Linked DNA regions of Ovis aries. The protein of the gene in region 5 interacts with the protein of the main gene of each other region in a biochemical or structural test. Links are inferred from orthologs where the notes say so. Each region holds a gene or a part of one and is shown on either strand. Other genes may lie near its edges.

Region 1 (3,516 bases), on a different chromosome or scaffold from region 5:
GCTGTAACTTCCATGTAGAGTGTGGAGGGAGATCTTAGTGCGGCATTCACCCTGTTCATTCTAAGTGCTCTAAGTACTGCCGAATCAGTCTTCCCAACTCTGTGAGGCTGGTGCGCTAATCCCTGTTTTACAGAAGAGGAAGCTGAGGCACAGAAAGGTGAAGGGACCCACCCAGGATCACACAGCAGTGCCACAAAGGGTTTGCCCAGGGCATGGCACACAGTGGGTGCTCAGAAGACAGTGGTCATGAGGATGATAACTGACATCTCATTCCTCACTTGGGTAAACTTGGATAAAAGTGGGGCTGCCAGATCAAGACAGTGTCCCTGGGAACATAGATGCTCCCTGGGGAAGATCCTCCCCTAGTTCGAAGAGTTGAGTTCAACCCACCGAAGCCGACAGCCTACCACGCACCAGGCTCTTCAAGAAACAGTGAGGCTGACAGTGGCCATTCCCCAGGGGAAGAGCAGCAGGGCTGGAGGCCTGGGCCCATGACGCGGGGCAGGGGCAGGTCGACCCCTGATCCTCCCCCTCTGTCCCTGCTTTCTCTGGCAGCATGGAAGGTGGTGAATTGTTCAGCAGGATTCAGGAGCGTGGCGACCAGGCTTTCACTGAAAGAGGTATGTATGTGCCGCTGCACAGGGAGTTTGGGCCGAGATGGGGCACACAGAGTTTCTCTGTGACGCTGGGCAAGGCCCTGTCCCTCTCTGTGCCTCAGTTTCCCAACTTGAACAAGGGTAGGGGGAGATGTTCTTCCCCCAAGGGGTTCTGTGAGTCTGTGGCAGCTTGTCAGAGATAGACTCCCCATGGGCCTGGGATGGAGGCCTCAATGCTTCTTGGTGCCAGCCCGCAGCTGAGCTGGGGGCATCTCCAGAAGAAACTAGGGGGACCAGTGTTGGGCTCTGAGGTGGGGTCCTGGGTGGCAGGAGTGCACCATCTTGTGCTCTCCCAAGAGGGGTGATGGGGAGGGGGCCCCTGGGCTGCCTGACCCTCGAGAGGCATCCGTGGCCCCCTCCTCTGTCCATGTCTGCAGAAGCCGCAGAGATCATGCGGGATATTGGCACTGCCATCCAGTTTCTGCACAGCCGGAACATCGCCCACCGAGATGTCAAGGTGAGGCTCCAGGACCCATGTTGGGGGACCAGGACAAAGAGTGCCATCCACAAACCCCAGAAGTCCCAGCATCCACTGGATGGAGGCCACGTTCCTTGCTTGGCATTCCAGGCCTCTCCCCGCGGCCCATACTGCATGGCTCAGCCTCTCCTCCCACGGTCCCAGCGTGTTCACTGTGCTCTAGCCAGATAGGCCTCCTTGTTTCCTTCAAGCGTATATAATCCCAGTAGGCATAAGAATAAACTAGTGCCCACCTTGAGCCACTGGGTCCTGAGAAGCATCTCGTTTAATCCTCACCCAGCCCTGTGAGAGGGTGCCATTACCCATTTGACAGATGAGGAAACCGAGGCTCAGAGAGTGATTGTCTTGCTCAAGCCTCTGCAGATGCTGCACTGTCGTTTTGCTCAAGGCTCTGCAGGTGCCTCCCTGGGGATTCATGCATTCATTTGTTCACTCAGCAAGAATTTTGTGAAGACAGTGTGCCAGGCTTCGGTGACAGGGCTGCCCAACACTGTTGGAGCTTGTGTGAAGTAACAGCCATAGTTCCCGTAGGCAGAGCCCTCTGATGGCAGCATTTTAGGGGAAGGAGGCCCTTTGCTGGCCACTGGACAAAGGAGCGGAGGTGATCCTAGTGGCTGGACCTGCTTGTCCCTCCAGTGGACGGGCTTGAGAATGTTCTCTCCAAATTTCCTGTCCAGGGAGGACTGGATCTTACAGGTGATTAGGATCAGATGGAAGAAATGCAAACCAAGGCTTCACATGCACACACACACTCACCTGCCTGTGCCAGCCACTGTCAGAGCAGAATTACAACTCCTGGGCCCTCGGCCTCCCACCTAGACCCTGACTGTCCCGCCCCCCAGACTTATTTCCTCCTAAGACCGGACAGAGGAGACCCGAAGGTCCAGCCGCTGTATCAGATTCTTCCTCTGGCTGAGTATCACCAACTCGTGCGGTTACCCTTTGATCTTGGATACACATGGAGCCACAACAGTCTCACCTTCTGAACCATTGCTTTATTTTGGCCCTGGCCTCCTTTTTTTCCCCTTAAGTGGAGAAAAGCCTTCTATGGAGAAGATTCCTATAGAAAAACTGCTTCCCTGTTTTTCACCCCAGTCCAAGTTTGGATCATCTCAAATAGAACCTGAGAAATAGCTTTCACTGGCTCCAAACTGAAATTCCATGTGCCACCCCATCCCTCTGCCCCAGCTCTGCTGCTTCTCTCCATGGGCCTAGGTCCTACCCATTCATTAGGAAGCAGCTTGAGGGCTGCCTCCTCCATGCAGACCTCCCCACTGCCTTCATCCCTCAGACCCTCTGTGCCCTACAACCAGGAAGACTGGCCTCTGTGCAGCTCCCAGGGCTGAGTTCCCCGAGCAGCGTCAGGTAGGGGCCTGTCATGCAGGCTCGTTCTGGGCTGGGTACAGGATGTGTGCTTGGCAGCACTGGCTCATGAGCAGCCCCCCATTTCCCTGGAACCCTCATTTTGGCATCTCATGGCAGCATCACCGACTGAAGCTCAGAAGTTCCTGCCCCTGGGCTCTCTGTGGCACTCAGTTATCCCCAGGCTTGGTGGAACCACTGCCTTAGTTTCCCCCCTGTGAAACAAGGTGTCACCTCTCAGCTACGTTAGTCTCTTCCACCTTTGGCCCATGTCATTGGCGGCCAAGACCCAGGTCTTTTTTAGTGAGATGGATCCGGCTCCTCCTGCCTCAATCTGGATGAGGGAGGGAGGAAGGAAATCTGACTGCAGATCACCGTGGAAATCTGCCCCCACCTGGTGCCTGAGTCCAGACTAACGTTTTCTCTCCCTGGCCCAGCCTGAAAACCTGCTCTACACGTCCAAGGATAAAGATGCGGTGCTGAAGCTCACGGACTTTGGCTTTGCCAAAGAGACCACCCAGAATGCCCTGCAAACTCCATGTTACACTCCCTACTATGTGGGTGAGTCCCTGGGATGTGGCCGGTACCTCTTTATTGCACCCCGCCCCCCACCCCCACCCCACTGTGGTCTGGGGCAGCTTGTGGGACACAGAAGCCAAAGAGTTAAAGCGCTGTGAGGAGGGAGGGGAGGGTTCTGTCTGTGTGGAGGTGGCAGCTGGGGGGCCGGAGGCTGCAAAAATATTCTCCCAAACTTCAGTTTTTGCTCTTGAAAATAGATCCAGGAAAATTCTGGCTCTGGCCTGTGAGCTGAATGACATCACAGTGGCTCTAAATATATATGTGATAAAAGGCTGCCGTCGGCTTGGGATGGAGCCCAAGTGCGGTTGTTTTTCTCCGGTTTTTATCTTCCTGGGAGTCATATTCAGAAAGTGGGCAGGCGCGTCCTCCTACACGAGAGGGAAGCAAGGGGCCAGCCACCTGTGTTTTGGGAAAGCGTCCCTTAGGTGAGGGCCAGGATGG
Region 2 (3,516 bases), on a different chromosome or scaffold from region 5:
CGGCTCATTTCTGATTTCCCTGTCAGTGGTATCACCAGATATGCCACTCACTGTCCCCTTATCTCTAGTCAGTCACCAAAAATTGTTGAAATTTGTCTTCAAAAATATTGAGCCTATTCATTCATCTCTACCTCTCTGCTCCTAGTGCAGCTTTCCAGCTTCTAGATTACTGTAGTAGTATTAGATTGGTGAGTCTGCAAGTCTGACTAACCATCCCTACCCTAAATATCTTCCCTGTAGCAGAACTCTTCTCAGAAATCTGTACGAGCCTCTCAATTAGGTCCTACTAAGACTTACACCCCTCTGTCTACTTTCAAAGCCAGGCCCTTCCCTATCACACCCATTTCACCAACTTCCCATTAATGAAATCAGGCTGTTTTTCCCACTGATGGATTTCAGCCTCTAATTTTTCGCTCATGTTGTCCATAATATGTGGGCACATGTGCTCTCTACTCCAGTTCTTCCAAGGCCAGCTCACAGCTAAACATGTAAAGGGGTTTAAAAGTGCCACACAATAGTTAGTAACTGTGATGGGTTTTGCCTTCTCTTTGGGAACCCTTCCCTAATTACAGCCCTTCAAAGATGTCTTCTTTTTCTGAATTCCCATAAGAATTCACAGAAAATTTAGCATGCAAAAGCTCTGATGTCTGAGAGTATTCCCTCTTTGTTTTGTATTTATTGGTGTTTCTAACCAGTCTTATTTAAACCCCTTGGGCAAAAGGATGGTTGATGTCTGATACTGCTCTCTGCCTCAACCCCACAGCACAAATGTGGAAGAGGATACTTTGAATGTTCCCTTAGTGTATGTACCAGGCTTTGATCTGGTCTTTATGGAAGGAAGCTCCTTGTTTCCAATCCTGATCTTCAGGAGACCAGAGATGTTTCTCTGGGAAAGACAGTGCGCTCTGCATTGTTTTGCCTTTAACCCCCTCACTGAGTCAAGCCCCAGCATTCCTTCCCAACACCACCATTTTGGCCAACAACATAAGCATCATTCAGAACCTTATCCATCATCAGTTGAGCAGAGGGTAGCACATTATCCAGGGCCTCAGTTGAGTTGAGCCAGGGGTGGTCCAGCACTCCCTCGATGGTAAGTCTTTCCTCTGGTTTGACCTTCAAGAGCCTGTGGAGAAAAGGCCAAAAGGGCTGCCATGCACAGTTGCTTCCAGAAGGCCATAAAGTTCCCGAGCCTGGCTCTAGTCAGCTCCAGCTTCTGACTTTCTACTTTCTGCCAACTCTTACAGCCTAGGCTTTCTGCAGGACAGAGGTGAGATTCTCTTCCCTAACTGTTAGTTGTGAGGGCGCTGTGTCCTTAGGCAGTCCTTTCTCTACTAAATAAATTGAGATTAAAAATGGTAGGAAAAGGCTTAATCCAGTGATACCTCAGACTGAGTTCTAGGTTCAGTAAGGTAATCAATCTTACATATGGCTCACAGTTCCTGAGACACTGAATCCCCAGACTAATGTTTCTAGGACAGTGGGCTATAATTTCCAGAAGGGACTCAAAGTACTCTTTTGGCCAACAGTGGCTGTAAAATTAGTTAAGCGATCATACAGTTCTGAAAATCCAGATTGCTACTTGTGATAAAACTTTTAGATAGCACCATATGGCAGCACACGAACCCTGAGCCATTTCTCCGAAGACATTCTAAGCTAAAAATCTAATATCTGAGAAGGGAACAGCATTTCTTTCTAAGCCTAATGTATTGTCTATACCATCAGCTTTTGACCACAGTTCTTTTCATCTTGTACATTCATACCGATGCAATTCCTAGCTTACCCCAGCATATTCCCTGGACCTTTTACAGCACTCCTTCCAAATACATAGCCTCCCATTCCAAACATCAGTCAGGACAACGTGCCTACTTGCTCTTTCATGTTCTCTGTAACTTTCTGGATCATTGTGAACAGCTTCAGATTCTAAAGAAAGGATTATTTAGAAAAGACCCTCAATGCTGAGAGAAGATAATCAATGTTACTCTAGTGACAGGGGAAATACACTCTATAGAACTGCAGAGAACCACTTAGAGGATATCGATGTTTTGGTTAAGTAGCTGAGAATACAGCATGGAAAGAACATGGGAAGACAGATTTCAAATTGCCTCCACCCTCCTAAAACACGTTCACTTGGATACTTAAGAAATGAATCCCTTTTTATGTACATGAATACCTAACCAACAGGACAAGTTCACTTCTGAAAGAGAGTAATCTGCATAGAGAAATAGCTGTACTATTAGGAGACAGTTCCCAGGTACTGCCCCTTTAATGCTTATCTTTATCACATTACAGATGAAGAAACTGAAATCAAGAGGAGCAATTACTCAGTGAAGAGCAAAGTAGTAATGTCAGAAGAGCGCATAAGTCCCAGGCAGCAGATCCCCTGGCACAGGTGGGCAGAAAAACCGAGCACACCTCCTATGTAGGCCTGACTTCTTAGTAACTTCAGCTAAGGAGCTGGAGCACGTGCCCATGTGTGAGGTCATTCTTGGGGAAGATATGTTGAAAGGCACTACCATGTCTGTAGGTTTCAGGTGATTTCATGGCCTGTAGTCAGAGCATGCTTATTAATAACAGACTCCTATCTTAATTAAACGCAGTTCCACCTGCCTCAGAAACTGGGTCCACAGAGGCCTCAACCCAAGCCCCTCCTGAACAGCAGGACAGAACAGTGTCCGCCTGAGGAAGGCGGCCCAGGGAGCCTGCCGCTGTGGCCACTCGCGCCTCACATCACAGCTGTGCGCTGCTCTGTAAGAAACAAAGGACTCTGAATGTCATGTGTCCCTCATCCACTCACTTAGCCCTAGTCCTTTTGAACCTTTCTATCTCTATATGTCAGAGCAACCAACTAGCAGCAGGGAGGCCAGGGTGGGATTGAGGTCCTGGACAACCAGTCACACTCCCACAGTAGCTAAGGGAGGAAAGGACAAAAGCGTCGTGGCCATTCCGGCACCCTAGTTCAGCTTCCGGCATCATGTCAGTGCCAAACGACTGGCCTCCGTGCAGGAAGGATGCACCGGGGGTTACCATTTAAAGTCTGAATTAATGCTAACGGATACAGTGGCTACCAAGGGACCTGGATTCAACCCTAGGGACAAATTCTAGGAATGCAACAGGAGGGAGTACAGCTCCAATTTCACCGAGATGTGGATACTGAGAACTCTCATTTCAGACTCCAGGACAGATTTTCTGTGATGATAAAAATGAGAAGGTACATGCCTGCAAAACAAAGAATTTTCTCTACCCAACATTGCTTTGCATTCCACCACTTTTAAGGGCCCCACCCAGTGGCCCAGAGACTCACTTTCTCACAACATCTTTGGCCATCTCTGAGATCTGGCTCCACTCTTCCTCCGGGAACTCAAAACTGCCTGTCATGATTTTTCTCCGCATATCCTTTGGGATAGTCCGGCTATGGTGTTTGGAGTAAAAAGGAGGGTATCCGCACAACATCACATAGATAATCACCCCTAGGGACCACAAGTCACAGCTCTGAAAGCAAAAAGAAAATGGTCACTC
Region 3 (3,516 bases), on a different chromosome or scaffold from region 5:
CTCCTCTGCCAGCTACGGAGTGAACTGTGTGCAAATCTGAAGGCGGAATGTGAACCCAGGCTTCCTGGCTGCACGTTCTCTTTTGCCTGATGCCCCACACGTTGCTGTGTCTGAGGTAAAGAGAGCAGGCAGATCCTGCAATGTGTACTCTGAGTTTAGGAGGGGCTGGGGGGCGTGCACGTGGGTTTGGGCCTTGGTGTGTGCTCACTTAGAGAAGAAAATGGCAACCCACTCCAGTGTTCTTGCCTAGAGAGTCCTGTGGACGGAGGAGCCTGGTGGGCTGCTGTCTCTGGGGTCGCACAGAGTCGGACATGACTGAAGCGACTTAGCAGCAGCAGCAGTAGCAGCGTGCTCACTTAGCACAGCTGTGGAAAGTTTGAGCAGAGCTGGTTTCTAGGCGGTGGTCATGGGGCTGCAGACGCAAACCCAGCCTATGGTCTTGCTGGTGACTTGTAACATCAGGGTTTGTCGGTTATATCAGGGTGTTCCAGCCTCACTCAGAGGTGACTGAGAGGGCCCCTGTGCTGTGGCAGCTACACTGATGGCTTGCAGAGGTGAGCGCCTTTCTGATAACAAAGTGTGCTCAGAGGTTCTTTCATTAGAAGCTTGCAGTGGCTCTGTGAGGGAGGGAGGCAGATATTGTAACCCCTGACTCGCAGATGTGGAGCAGGCTCAAAAGGTGACGGTCTCTCCAAGGCTGTGCAACCAGAAATGGACAGATTTCAGACCCAGGCCCAAGTGCCTCCTAACTGCAGATCCTTGACCTCCTGTTGCCTCTGAGTGACTGTGACAGCTTGGGCTTCAGCACTGTGTGCCTGTAGAGGGCGACAGAGGTCTTTCTTTTGGGGCTGCGGGGAGAACTCTTTCTCTTGAACTCTGAATTTAGCAGTCTCACAGCAGCTTCTCACTGGGTTATAAGCATTTTCTGTGTGGCAGCCTTCGCTCACACCCCTTCCCCCAGTTTGAGTTTTTTCAGGTCGTTCAGTTGCTCAGTCGTGTCTGACTCTTTGCGACCTCATGGACTGCAGCCCATCAGGCTTCCCTGTCCTTCACCATCTCCCGGAATTTGCTCAAACTCATGTCCAATGATGCCGTCCAACTGTCTCTTTCAGACTGGGACTCTCTGGTTTTCACATCTAGCACAACGTGTGGTCCATAGTAGGAGCTCTGTAAATGCTTGTTGAATTGAAATACTTTCAAATGAGATTGGCCAGAGTCTCTTCCTCCTTTTCATAGGGTGTGGGAAGGGAAAATAACCTTTTTGAATGAATGAAGTTGAAGGGAGCAAACTCAGGATCTGTGCAGTGTCCCTATACTGCCACCAGGTGGCAGTGTGACCTCATGGTGACTGCTCCCTAGGAGACTGAATTATCTGGGCACCTGTTGGGGGTTGTGTCTCTGAAACCAGTTTGCATTTGGTGATCTGAGACTAACAAGTCTTGGCTTCCACCCCTCCTCTAAAAGTTGCATGGTATCGTGGAAAAGGTTTAGGCTTCGGAATCCACATGGCCTGGATTCCAGCCCTGGCTTCCCCCAGGAAATGAGCCTGGGACACGTTGCTTCTGTGAGCCTCAATTTCCTCAGCCTGTAAAACGGGCAGCAGTTGTACAGTAAGGCAAAGCCCAGCGTGTCATAGACCACAGCATAACTGAATGTTAGCTTTATTGTTGGGAGCACCTGTTTGCCTTTCCCCTTCCTGTGTAATCGGGCTCCTCTCTGGCCATCTGATCTTCTTCACCAAGACTCGTGCGCTTCCCAGCAGGTGTCTTAGTGCTCCGCTGTGCCACCCCCACCTCAGGGTAGCCCCTGGTACCAGAGTGACTGTCCTGGCACCAGGTGCCATGCGCAGGAGACATGCCGCTTTCTCTGCCCCTTTCCAGAGGCCTCTGCAGACTTGCTGCAGAGTGCTACCTGACCAGTGTTGGGTCTTAGTAAACGGCTTGGGATTAATGAAACCGGCTTAGACTAGTCAAATCTCGGCCTTGGACGCAGGTAAGGGAGCCAGGCTCCTTTAATACCTTGGCCACCTGGTCCCTGAAAGAAGAGGGGTTGGGAACAAGGCTCATGTTAAGTGACTTGCTCCAGGTTGGGGATCTATTAAGAACCAGGAGTTAGATCACACTGGCTGGCTCCTGAGGCTATTTGCTGTTGAAAGGATATGGCTGTGGATTTGGTGTGCTGGGTTCAGGGATCTTAGAGCTTCCTTTCCCGACAGATCTGGAGGCTCCCCTCTCTAGGCCCCTTTCTGCGGTTATCTGGATGTTCGTCAGTCTTTCTTCCCACCCAGGCATCCTGTACTCTCCGCCTCCCAGTGCTCAGCCCTGCCTGCCTTTTGGAGTAGACTTCATGCCTTTAGCTGGGGAGAGGACCAACCGTCTTTCCCTACGTGGTCAAGGGTGGTCTCCAGTCAGCTGTGGAGACCTCACAAGGGGTCACCCTGAAGTTTCTTTTAGAGCAGAAAAGAGAGCTGCAGGGCCCCAAGTCAGGCTTGGGAGGGGGTGCAGGGCTGTGACAAGAGGGCTGGTGCTGGGCTGGGTAGGGGGTGGATGGGCTGGGGCAGAGGACTTGATGGACCAGGGCAGGGGCCGTTGATGGACCGGGGCAGGGGCTGTTGATGGACCGGGGCAGGGGACTTGATGGGCTGGGGCGGGGGTTGGGCGGACCGGGGTTGGCAGGTGGATGGCAGGGTGGGGCGTCAATGGGCTGGGGCAGGGGACTTGATGGGCCGGGGCGGGCGGGGTGCAGATGTGGGGGCAGGGTTCAGTGGCGTGCCGGTGAGGGCTGACGGGCACATGGGCCGGGTCAGGGGAGGTGCAGGCGGGGCAGCCCCCGTGCTCCCTCAGGAGGTCTGGCTTGCAGATGCTGCAGGACTGCCCCAAGGCCCGCCGCGAGGTGGAGCTGCACTGGCGCGCCTCGCAGTGCCCGCACATCGTGCGCATCGTGGACGTCTACGAGAACCTGTACGCGGGGCGGAAGTGCCTGCTGATCGTCATGGAGTGGTGAGCAGCCCGACCCTGCTCCCCGCCCGGTCCCCTTTCCTTCCCAGGACTGCAGGCTGGGGGCGCTGAAACTCAGCATGCAAGCACCTCGTTCTTCTTGGAGGGTAGTGGCTTGCGCGCTAGTGCGATGTCACGGCCTCAGTCTAACTGTGGCTTTGTTTCAGTTTGGATGGCGGAGAACTGTTCAGTCGAATCCAGGACCGAGGAGACCAAGCCTTCACGGAAAGAGGTAGAAAGGGTCTGTCGCGGGCCCAGCTGGGCGGCGGGGCAGCGGGGCTCCAGGGGCCTGCTCCCAGGGAGGTGCTCAGGCCCGCTGCCCACCTGCTGCTGGGGCTCTGCCCGCTCCTGCACCTCGCCTTCTGGGGTGGGTGGGGGCGTCAGGGGCCTTAGGCTTCCCGGGAGGGCTCTTGCCTCAGCTTTTCAAACCTAAGGACGCATCTTGTGACTTGGCTTCTGGCTCCCTGCTCCCGTCTCCTCCGCAGAGGCTTCAGAGATCATGAAGAGCATCGGCGAGGCC
Region 4 (3,516 bases), on a different chromosome or scaffold from region 5:
AGCAGCTAGTATCAGACCAGGTCTGACAGTGTGGGATCTTTACCCTGCTTTTTGTAGTGGGAAAGCTGTACTGTCAAGAGATTCAATAGATAAACACACTGACAGAGAACTCCTTATTTCTTCTTTAATAAGCTAATAAATAAGACTGAGGTGCTACTTAGCTACTGGTACTAACTCATTCTTCATCTTTAAACCCTCAGAAAAAAAAAAAAAGGACAAAACATGCCACCACCACAACTGCCTGGAATAAAGGTAACACAACTGGCCACAATCATCACTGTGACCCAGCATCTCTAGGGCTAGAGAAATTCTGGCCAAGTATTTAGCAAGCAATCATTTTTAAAAAAATTTTATTGGAGTATAGCTGATTTACAATGTTGTATTACTAATAGCTATCAATCATTATTAAGAAGACACAGAAAACGAAGAGTCAGTACTAATGGTGAAGAGACCCTGCTGCTGCTACTGCTAAGTCACTTCAGCCGTGTCCAACTCTGTGCAACCCCACAGACGGCAGCCCACCAGGCTCCCCCATCCCTGGGAATCTCCAGACAAGAGTACTGGAGTGGGTTGCCATTTGCAAACTCAATTCTCAACCTGGTCTCCACCAGCTACTAGCTGCATGACCCTGGGCATGCTACTTTATTTCTCTCATCTTCAACCTTGCCATTCAGTAAAATGAGAATAAACAGTAAGGTCTACCCCATGGGGTTGTTCTGATGATTAAATCAGATGAGTATAAGCATTCAAGCTGATGCTTTCAAGAGCTGTTTGTTAGGTGTTGGAATGATGACTTTACTATAAACAGCGTCAAACCCTACACATATTGTTCATAGGCCTTACTAGAAAAACCTGATCTGTCAGCTACTTTGCAAATTTTACCCAATCCAACAGTATCTTAAGGCTACCTCACAGTTAAACAGCTTGTGCAGAGTAATCTCCTAGTCACAAGTGAAGTTAAGTCAATTACAAAAAGACCTAAAGTCATGTAAACTGCTATGGAAGGAAAGCTGTAGGCAGATCATCCTCTTGAGATATATGTAAAACAGCATGAAGTGATAATTCTAGAAGAGACTTAGATCACATGTACTCTTTAACATAAACTTTTAAACAGAAATAACCAGGTGAATGCTGTCATGTAACTCTACTTAAGCAGAATGGTTAAATTAAGCGAGAGAACTAAATTGAAACAGTGCTTCAGTGACCTTTGAGAGAGATACAAGACGTGGCAGCAAAACGGCACCAAGTTCCACTAGAGCAATTACTCGAGCTAACTTTTGTTCAGTATGAACTTTTATTAGACACACACCCTGAGGCTGACGGGTTTATCCGTAATGCTTATAAATAGTCTCCAGGTTGATAAAGTCCTGAAATACAATCTTTACCTCAAGACAGCCACCCTCAAATGACATCTCCCAAGAGGTGGCAGAACAACCAACCAATACCTGTACACTGAATCGGAGGCAAGAGCAAGCAGAGAACATTCATCTTCCTGATTCAGTAAAGGACAGTGTGAAGCAACGCAGCCTGGAAGGATACCTGGGAAATATCTTAGCATGAAGAACTCTACAATCGTCAAGGCAACAGCATCATAAGTAGTAACAGGCACTCCTGAGTGGTCAGTTTCTAACAAACAAGTTTTAAGAGAAATCCTGGGCTTGATTTAACCTTTTCTGTTATGGTGACCCACACAGATAACAATGACTTGAAACAGCATTTTAAAAAGAAAATGAAAAGCAATAAATTCAGGTTATACAGCCTTCTGAATCTGCTGATTTGTGACTTCATAAATAAACCCTTGTGGAGATGTTTAGTCTGCATCATTCCTATACCTTTCTCCTCAAAGCCAACCAGACTAGTGTCAATTGTAAACCTTCTCTCCCTCTTTCCCTCAACAGCACTCAATTCTGTATACACAGCTGGTACTGAGTAAACACTGACCAATCAAATGGAGTGGGATTTGCCAAAACCCCAAGGAGATTTCATCAGACAAGTGGGCCATACTATTCTATGAATAGTATGAACTCACAGTGAACTCTTTAGGGGCCTTCTGGTCAAAAATCATTTAATTGCATCTGCTTTGCCAAAAGGGACTTTTCCATTCCTATTCTACCTGTCTCTAAATAAGAAACAAACAAACAAAAAGAAATGTCCTTCTGTAGACCTAGCCAGATAAACTGTACTTTACACAGTATTTGTGAGGTATTGGAAAGAGGAGGGCAGGAAGTGTGTCCTACACACTAGGACAAGGCCCAACAATCTTCCCATACTTTCACAACAGAGTTCAAACTGTGAAAGTCACAGTGTTTTCAGAGAATAAAGCTCATTTGCTTTTTGCATCCTCATTCCAGGATACTAACTACCCTTCCACTCCTGACAGTTACCTGGATGGCTTAGCCCAAACTGTGGCTGACTGCAATTGGTCCTTCCTAGATTTCAGAATTGCCTTAGGTGCCATTCTTCCAACTTAAAAAGGTTCTCATTTGAAGAAGAGGAGAAAGGATCTTTTGGGGCCAGGGTATGTCTACTCTGCGAAACCTTCCTCAGGGACCCTGCAATTAAGTCACACCTTTTTCAATATTCCTACAGTGCTGTGTACATACCTCTATTATAGCAAAATTACTAAACTGTGATTCTTTTTTTACGTGTATATAACCCTTACTAAAATCAATAATCTTGGTGATAGAAAGTATTCTTCATTTATCTTTGTAATTCCAATGACCCATAAAAAGCAAGCCTACAATAAAATTTTGTTAAACGAAATCTGTGGCATAACTCAGGGTAGTAATAATTTTCCTAAGGATTCTTCATTCCTTTTTCTTTCTTCACACTCAGGTCCTTTGAATCTCTATCAAACATCAATCATCACAGCAAAGTTTCCTACCTCCCAGTACTTGGTTCGGTTGACACCCTCTGAATATGCTCGGGCAAAGGTACTTTCACTGTTGAGAGCTGTAACAGCTGCACTGAGCTGAGACATGGGGTGTAGATTAGTGGGAAAGTTGTCCAGCATGGTGACCACATGGGAAGGCAGAGCTGCCCTCTTTGCCCACTCCTGTGAGAGCCAAGATACCTGTGAAAAGGAAGACATCGCTCAGAACACTAGACAAGGGAAAAAAAGACAAATAAAAAGACAACAGGGGACTTCCCTGGTGGTCCAGTGGTTAAGAATTTGCCTTCCAATGCAGGGGACATGTTACCGGGCAACAAAGCCCACATGCTGCAGCTGGAGAACAGAGAAGCTCACGTGCTCTAGAGCCTGTGTGCCACAACTAGAGAAAGCCTGCGCATGGCACGGCACGGCACAGCACAGCCAAAATTGAGAAAAATGAGAGAAAAAGAGAATGAGTATTCCCTGGTGGCCCAGTGGTTAGGACTCAGCACTCTCACTGCTAGGAGCCTGGGTTGAATCTCTGGCTCTGAGTAACTTGCAAAATGGTAACAAAGATCTTACAAGCTGCCTGGTATGACCAAAATAAAAAATTAAAAATAAAGAAAATGAAAAGACTAACTTCA
Region 5 (3,577 bases):
AAGCCACACCTGCTCATCACTCTCTGCGGGGCACTCTCAGACCTGAGGACCCAGGTCCCGTGCTGCCTACATGGGCTGGGCTGGGGGAATCGCCCCTCAGAAAGCCGCCAGGGGTGGCCACACCTCCCCTCCAATCTACCTGGTCCAAACCCTCTACGATGAAGTCAGGAATCTGAGCTCCCAGGAAGCCCTCTCCCCCAGCCCTGCCCTGTCTTCCCTCACCTGCCCCCTTGCCCAGGTGGTTCCTGAGTGCCCAAGCCTGGGTCAAGTGCCTCTCATAATTTCCCCTGCTCCCCCTCCAGCCCTGGGCGTTTTAACTCCGGTGAACAATCACTGCTTCTCTCTTAATGAACAAGGGGTACAGGAGGGCAGGGCTGTGCCCAGTGACAGATGATACTGCACCCACAGGACCCAGCCTGGGGCTTGGTGCCCAGCGGGCCCTCAGCAAACATCAAACCAGCACCAACCCTTCTTCCTTCACAAAACCAGCAGGGTCTGAGGCAGTGGCGGGCAGTGGCTTCAAACTTTATTTGAGAAAAACAGAAGGCAAACGTATCAAAAGAACATAGAGGTTTGGCGGGTGAGGATGGTCAGTGATGGCTACTTGTGGGGTGGGCCGCTGGGCAAAGGGCCTTTACTTGTTTGCCGGCTGTTCGGACTTTCCGGCTTCGGGGCCGCCAAGCTGGGCACGCGCCTGGAAGGTGACGGGAATGGTGATCTCGGCAGACTGGGTAGCTGACTTGGGCAACGGGGCCTCCACGGTGAGTGTGCCCTCAGGGGACAGAGAGGAGGAGACCAGGGTGGGATCCACACCGGGGGGCAGCCTGGACGGGCAAAGAGGGTGGACAAGAGTTACACACCAGGGCGTCCCCGCGCGCCCCTCTCCCGCCCGCCGCCCCCCAGATCCGGAGCCAGGACTCACGTGTATTTGCGAGTGAAGCAACGGGAAATGTAGCCGTGCTCGTCCTGCCTTTCCTCGTGTTTGCCTGGGAGGAGGGGGAGGGGAAGTAGGTCAGAGGAGGCGGGGAGGGGCGGCCTAGCCGCTGGCTCGCAGCCCAGCGCGCCCCACCTGCGGGCCAGGACTCCGGGCTGGCAAGACTGACGGAGGGATCTGGGTGCCCGAGACTGTCCCGGGAACTCAGAAGCTTTGGGGAACTCAGAAGCTTTTGGAAAGTTCGGGTTCAGGGGCTTGGCGAGTGGGGGGTGGGGGTGGAAGCGCGGCTCGGGGCAGGCGCACACGCCCCCTCCGCGGACCCGGGCTGGGAGCAGGGACCGTGACGTGGGGGGCATGGGGGGCAGGGCGGCGAGGGCGACGCCCTCTTCATACCGACTGCGGGCCCGGGTGGGTGGGGCGTGGCGGGGGGGCCTGGTCCCTTGGGGGCCAGGTCCTCAGGTCCGAGGGCTGGGGTTGAGGGGAGTCTCCGCTGGAAGGGGGCGTTGCTTTCCTTAGTGGAGACTTTTTAGGGCTAAAAGATCCCTTAGGAACTCCAGCAAACCCCAACTCCAGAGAATACAGACCAGGGCTAGGGCGAAGAGGCCGGGCCCCGCTCTGGGGGCTCCCCGCCTTCCCCCCCACCGCCCGTCCTCGGCTAAGTTTTCACTTTCCAGCGGCCCCCTCTCCCGGCTCCCCGCCCATGTTTCAACCCAGAGCTCTTCCCCGGGACCCGCGAGAGGCGAGGGGCCGGCGTCCCTGGGGCGGGGGCCAGGGGGTGCTTACCAGTGATCTCCACCACGCCGTCCTTGGTCTTGACCGTCAGCTCCTCGGGGGCGAAGTGGTTGACGTCCAGGGACACGCGCCAGCGGTCGGCGGTCTGCTGGATCTCGGAGACCCCGCTGCTGAGCTGTCGGCTGAGCGCGCGGCTGTAGGCGGGACCCTCGATCGCTGCGGCGGGCAGCGGGCGCACGTAGCCCGGCCATCCGCTGTGGCTCAGCCACTGCGACCACTCCTCGGGCAGCCGGGGCAGCCCGAAGGCCTGGTCGAAGAGGCGGCTGTGGGCCGGATACCAGTCGCGGAAAGGGTCCCAGCTGGGGCCCCTTAGGAGCGAGAAGGGCACTCGGCGCTCGGCCATGCTGGCTAGTCTGGGTGCGTCCGGAGTAGGCTCGGAGAAGCGGGAGAAGTGGCGGGCGCCGGACCCCGTAGCGCTTTTATGGGTCTCCAGCCGGGTATTTTTAGCAGGCGGTGTTTCAGGTCTCTATTAATGGCAATGACGGGCCAGGGGGCAGCCCCTCCCCCTGCATTCCCCTCCACTGCATACCGGGGCGCGGGGCGGGGCGAGGAAGGCCCTGCCCACATCTGGAACCTTCTCTTGTTCGAGAAAACAAATGACTAGAGCCTCGATGTCGGAGCACTGCCCACTGCTGGACGCTCGGAGGCCTGGGTGCTAAAGCGCTGGGCCTCTATCTGTGGACAGTCGGGGAGGACAAAGCCGAGAGGGAGAGAGAGAAAGAGAGAAAGAGGTCGAGCAGTGAGTCCCAAGGGGAGAGAGAGAGGTCGAGCAGTGAGTCCCAGGGCGCACAACTAGGAACTGGCAGAGCGAGCCAGGATTTGGAAGGCAGTGTGTCTGTGATATAATGCCTTAAGAAGCAGCGTGGTTAGGGCGGTCTCGGGAGGTAGACCGCCTGAGTTCACATGCAGGTTCTGCCACTCACTGGATGAACTTGTGCAAGTTCAGAGTCTTTTGCCTCAGTTTCCCCATCGGGAAAATGGGATGATGGTGGTGATGATAATGCTTTCATCGCTAGGTTGGTTTGAAGATTCAGCCTCAATGCAAGTAAACATTTTAGTCCAGGGTACACGATAATGAATATATTATCTATATTTATATATAGATAATATATATAGATAATATATTATCTATAATTATTATTAGCCCCTGAAGTTGAAGGAGGGGGCAAGAAGGAAAGCATGTATGTGTCCCTGTTGCAGAGGCAATGGTATGTGTAGGTTTGGCCATTTGCCCACTGAACCCCAGTGGAGTAGACTCAGATCACAAACCTTGAGGGCCAGTACTGAGAAGGGGTCAGGAAGAAGGTTATGGTCAAGTCTCCCCATTATATCTAGTTTTCTGGAGGAGCCCTAGACAGGGGAACTTGAAATGCAGCAACCTTGAATCTAGTCAGGGCTTTGCTGTTTGTGTGATTTGGGCCAATGCTCCTTTCCCTGTTGGCAGGTTATTACCTCGATCCTGTTCTGTTGAATATTCCCGCAGACGGAGAGGGGGCAATTCCTTCAAACTTGCTTGGAGCCTGAGGCCGGCCCCTCCTCCGATCTGACCGCCTGTGAGATCCACGCCCCCACTACCCGCTCTGGGAAAAGATGCTGCCCCTAGCTTCCTGCCATAATCCTAACAATCTCTCTCTCCTGCCTTCCTTCTCCTGACATGTGTCCTGTATCCCTCCTTTTTCAATGAGGAAACAGGTTTGGAGATGAGGTGATGGGCCTACAGTCTCCCGTAAGCCACTAGCAGAGGAAGGCTCTCATCTCTAGTGCTCAGGGCTCTTCCCCTGGTCAAGCTCCCACCTTGGACTCCTCTTGTTTTCTCTTCTCCCGAGACACACTCTGCTTGCTGCCCCCCCC

The links.
Region 1: of the proteins of HSPB1 (region 5) and MAPKAPK3, one has a biochemical effect on the other in vitro, tested with the Homo sapiens proteins (2 studies listed by BioGRID and IntAct). The link is inferred for Ovis aries from reciprocal best matches to the Homo sapiens genes HSPB1 and MAPKAPK3.
Region 2: of the proteins of HSPB1 (region 5) and MAPKAPK5, one has a biochemical effect on the other in vitro, tested with the Homo sapiens proteins (4 studies listed by BioGRID and IntAct). The link is inferred for Ovis aries from reciprocal best matches to the Homo sapiens genes HSPB1 and MAPKAPK5.
Region 3: of the proteins of HSPB1 (region 5) and MAPKAPK2, one has a biochemical effect on the other in vitro, tested with the Homo sapiens proteins (17 studies listed by BioGRID and IntAct, with this or other methods). The link is inferred for Ovis aries from reciprocal best matches to the Homo sapiens genes HSPB1 and MAPKAPK2.
Region 4: the proteins of HSPB1 (region 5) and CS form a complex in vitro, tested with the Homo sapiens proteins (2 studies listed by BioGRID). The link is inferred for Ovis aries from reciprocal best matches to the Homo sapiens genes HSPB1 and CS.

Annotation. Positions count from the first base shown.
Region 1 is NC_056072.1:49,765,485-49,769,000, reverse strand, and holds part of MAPKAPK3 (MAP kinase-activated protein kinase 3), read left to right. Parts: intron 1-555; coding exon 556-620; intron 621-1,033; coding exon 1,034-1,113; intron 1,114-2,933; coding exon 2,934-3,057; intron 3,058-3,516. UniProt on the Homo sapiens protein: Stress-activated serine/threonine-protein kinase involved in cytokines production, endocytosis, cell migration, chromatin remodeling and transcriptional regulation.
Region 2 is NC_056070.1:62,409,030-62,412,545, forward strand, and holds part of MAPKAPK5 (MAP kinase-activated protein kinase 5), read right to left. Parts: intron 3,490-3,516; coding exon 3,302-3,489; intron 1,124-3,301; coding exon 1,003-1,123; intron 1-1,002. UniProt on the Homo sapiens protein: Tumor suppressor serine/threonine-protein kinase involved in mTORC1 signaling and post-transcriptional regulation. Phosphorylates FOXO3, ERK3/MAPK6, ERK4/MAPK4, HSP27/HSPB1, p53/TP53 and RHEB.
Region 3 is NC_056065.1:4,327,894-4,331,409, forward strand, and holds part of MAPKAPK2 (MAP kinase-activated protein kinase 2), read left to right. Parts: intron 1-2,859; coding exon 2,860-2,999; intron 3,000-3,163; coding exon 3,164-3,228; intron 3,229-3,481; coding exon 3,482-3,516. UniProt on the Homo sapiens protein: Stress-activated serine/threonine-protein kinase involved in cytokine production, endocytosis, reorganization of the cytoskeleton, cell migration, cell cycle control, chromatin remodeling, DNA damage response and transcriptional regulation.
Region 4 is NC_056056.1:163,274,537-163,278,052, reverse strand, and holds part of CS (citrate synthase, mitochondrial), read right to left. Parts: intron 3,074-3,516; coding exon 2,885-3,073; intron 1,768-2,884; exon of another isoform or gene 1,457-1,767; coding exon of another isoform or gene 1,392-1,456; exon of another isoform or gene 410-1,391; coding exon of another isoform or gene 393-409; exon of another isoform or gene 327-392; coding exon of another isoform or gene 201-326; exon of another isoform or gene 1-200. UniProt on the Homo sapiens protein: Key enzyme of the Krebs tricarboxylic acid cycle which catalyzes the synthesis of citrate from acetyl coenzyme A and oxaloacetate.
Region 5 is NC_056077.1:34,787,626-34,791,202, reverse strand, and holds HSPB1 (heat shock protein beta-1), read right to left. Parts: upstream 2,120-3,577; 5' UTR 2,070-2,119; coding exon 1,718-2,069; intron 987-1,717; coding exon 923-986; intron 825-922; coding exon 635-824; 3' UTR 510-634; downstream 1-509. UniProt on the Homo sapiens protein: Small heat shock protein which functions as a molecular chaperone probably maintaining denatured proteins in a folding-competent state. Plays a role in stress resistance and actin organization.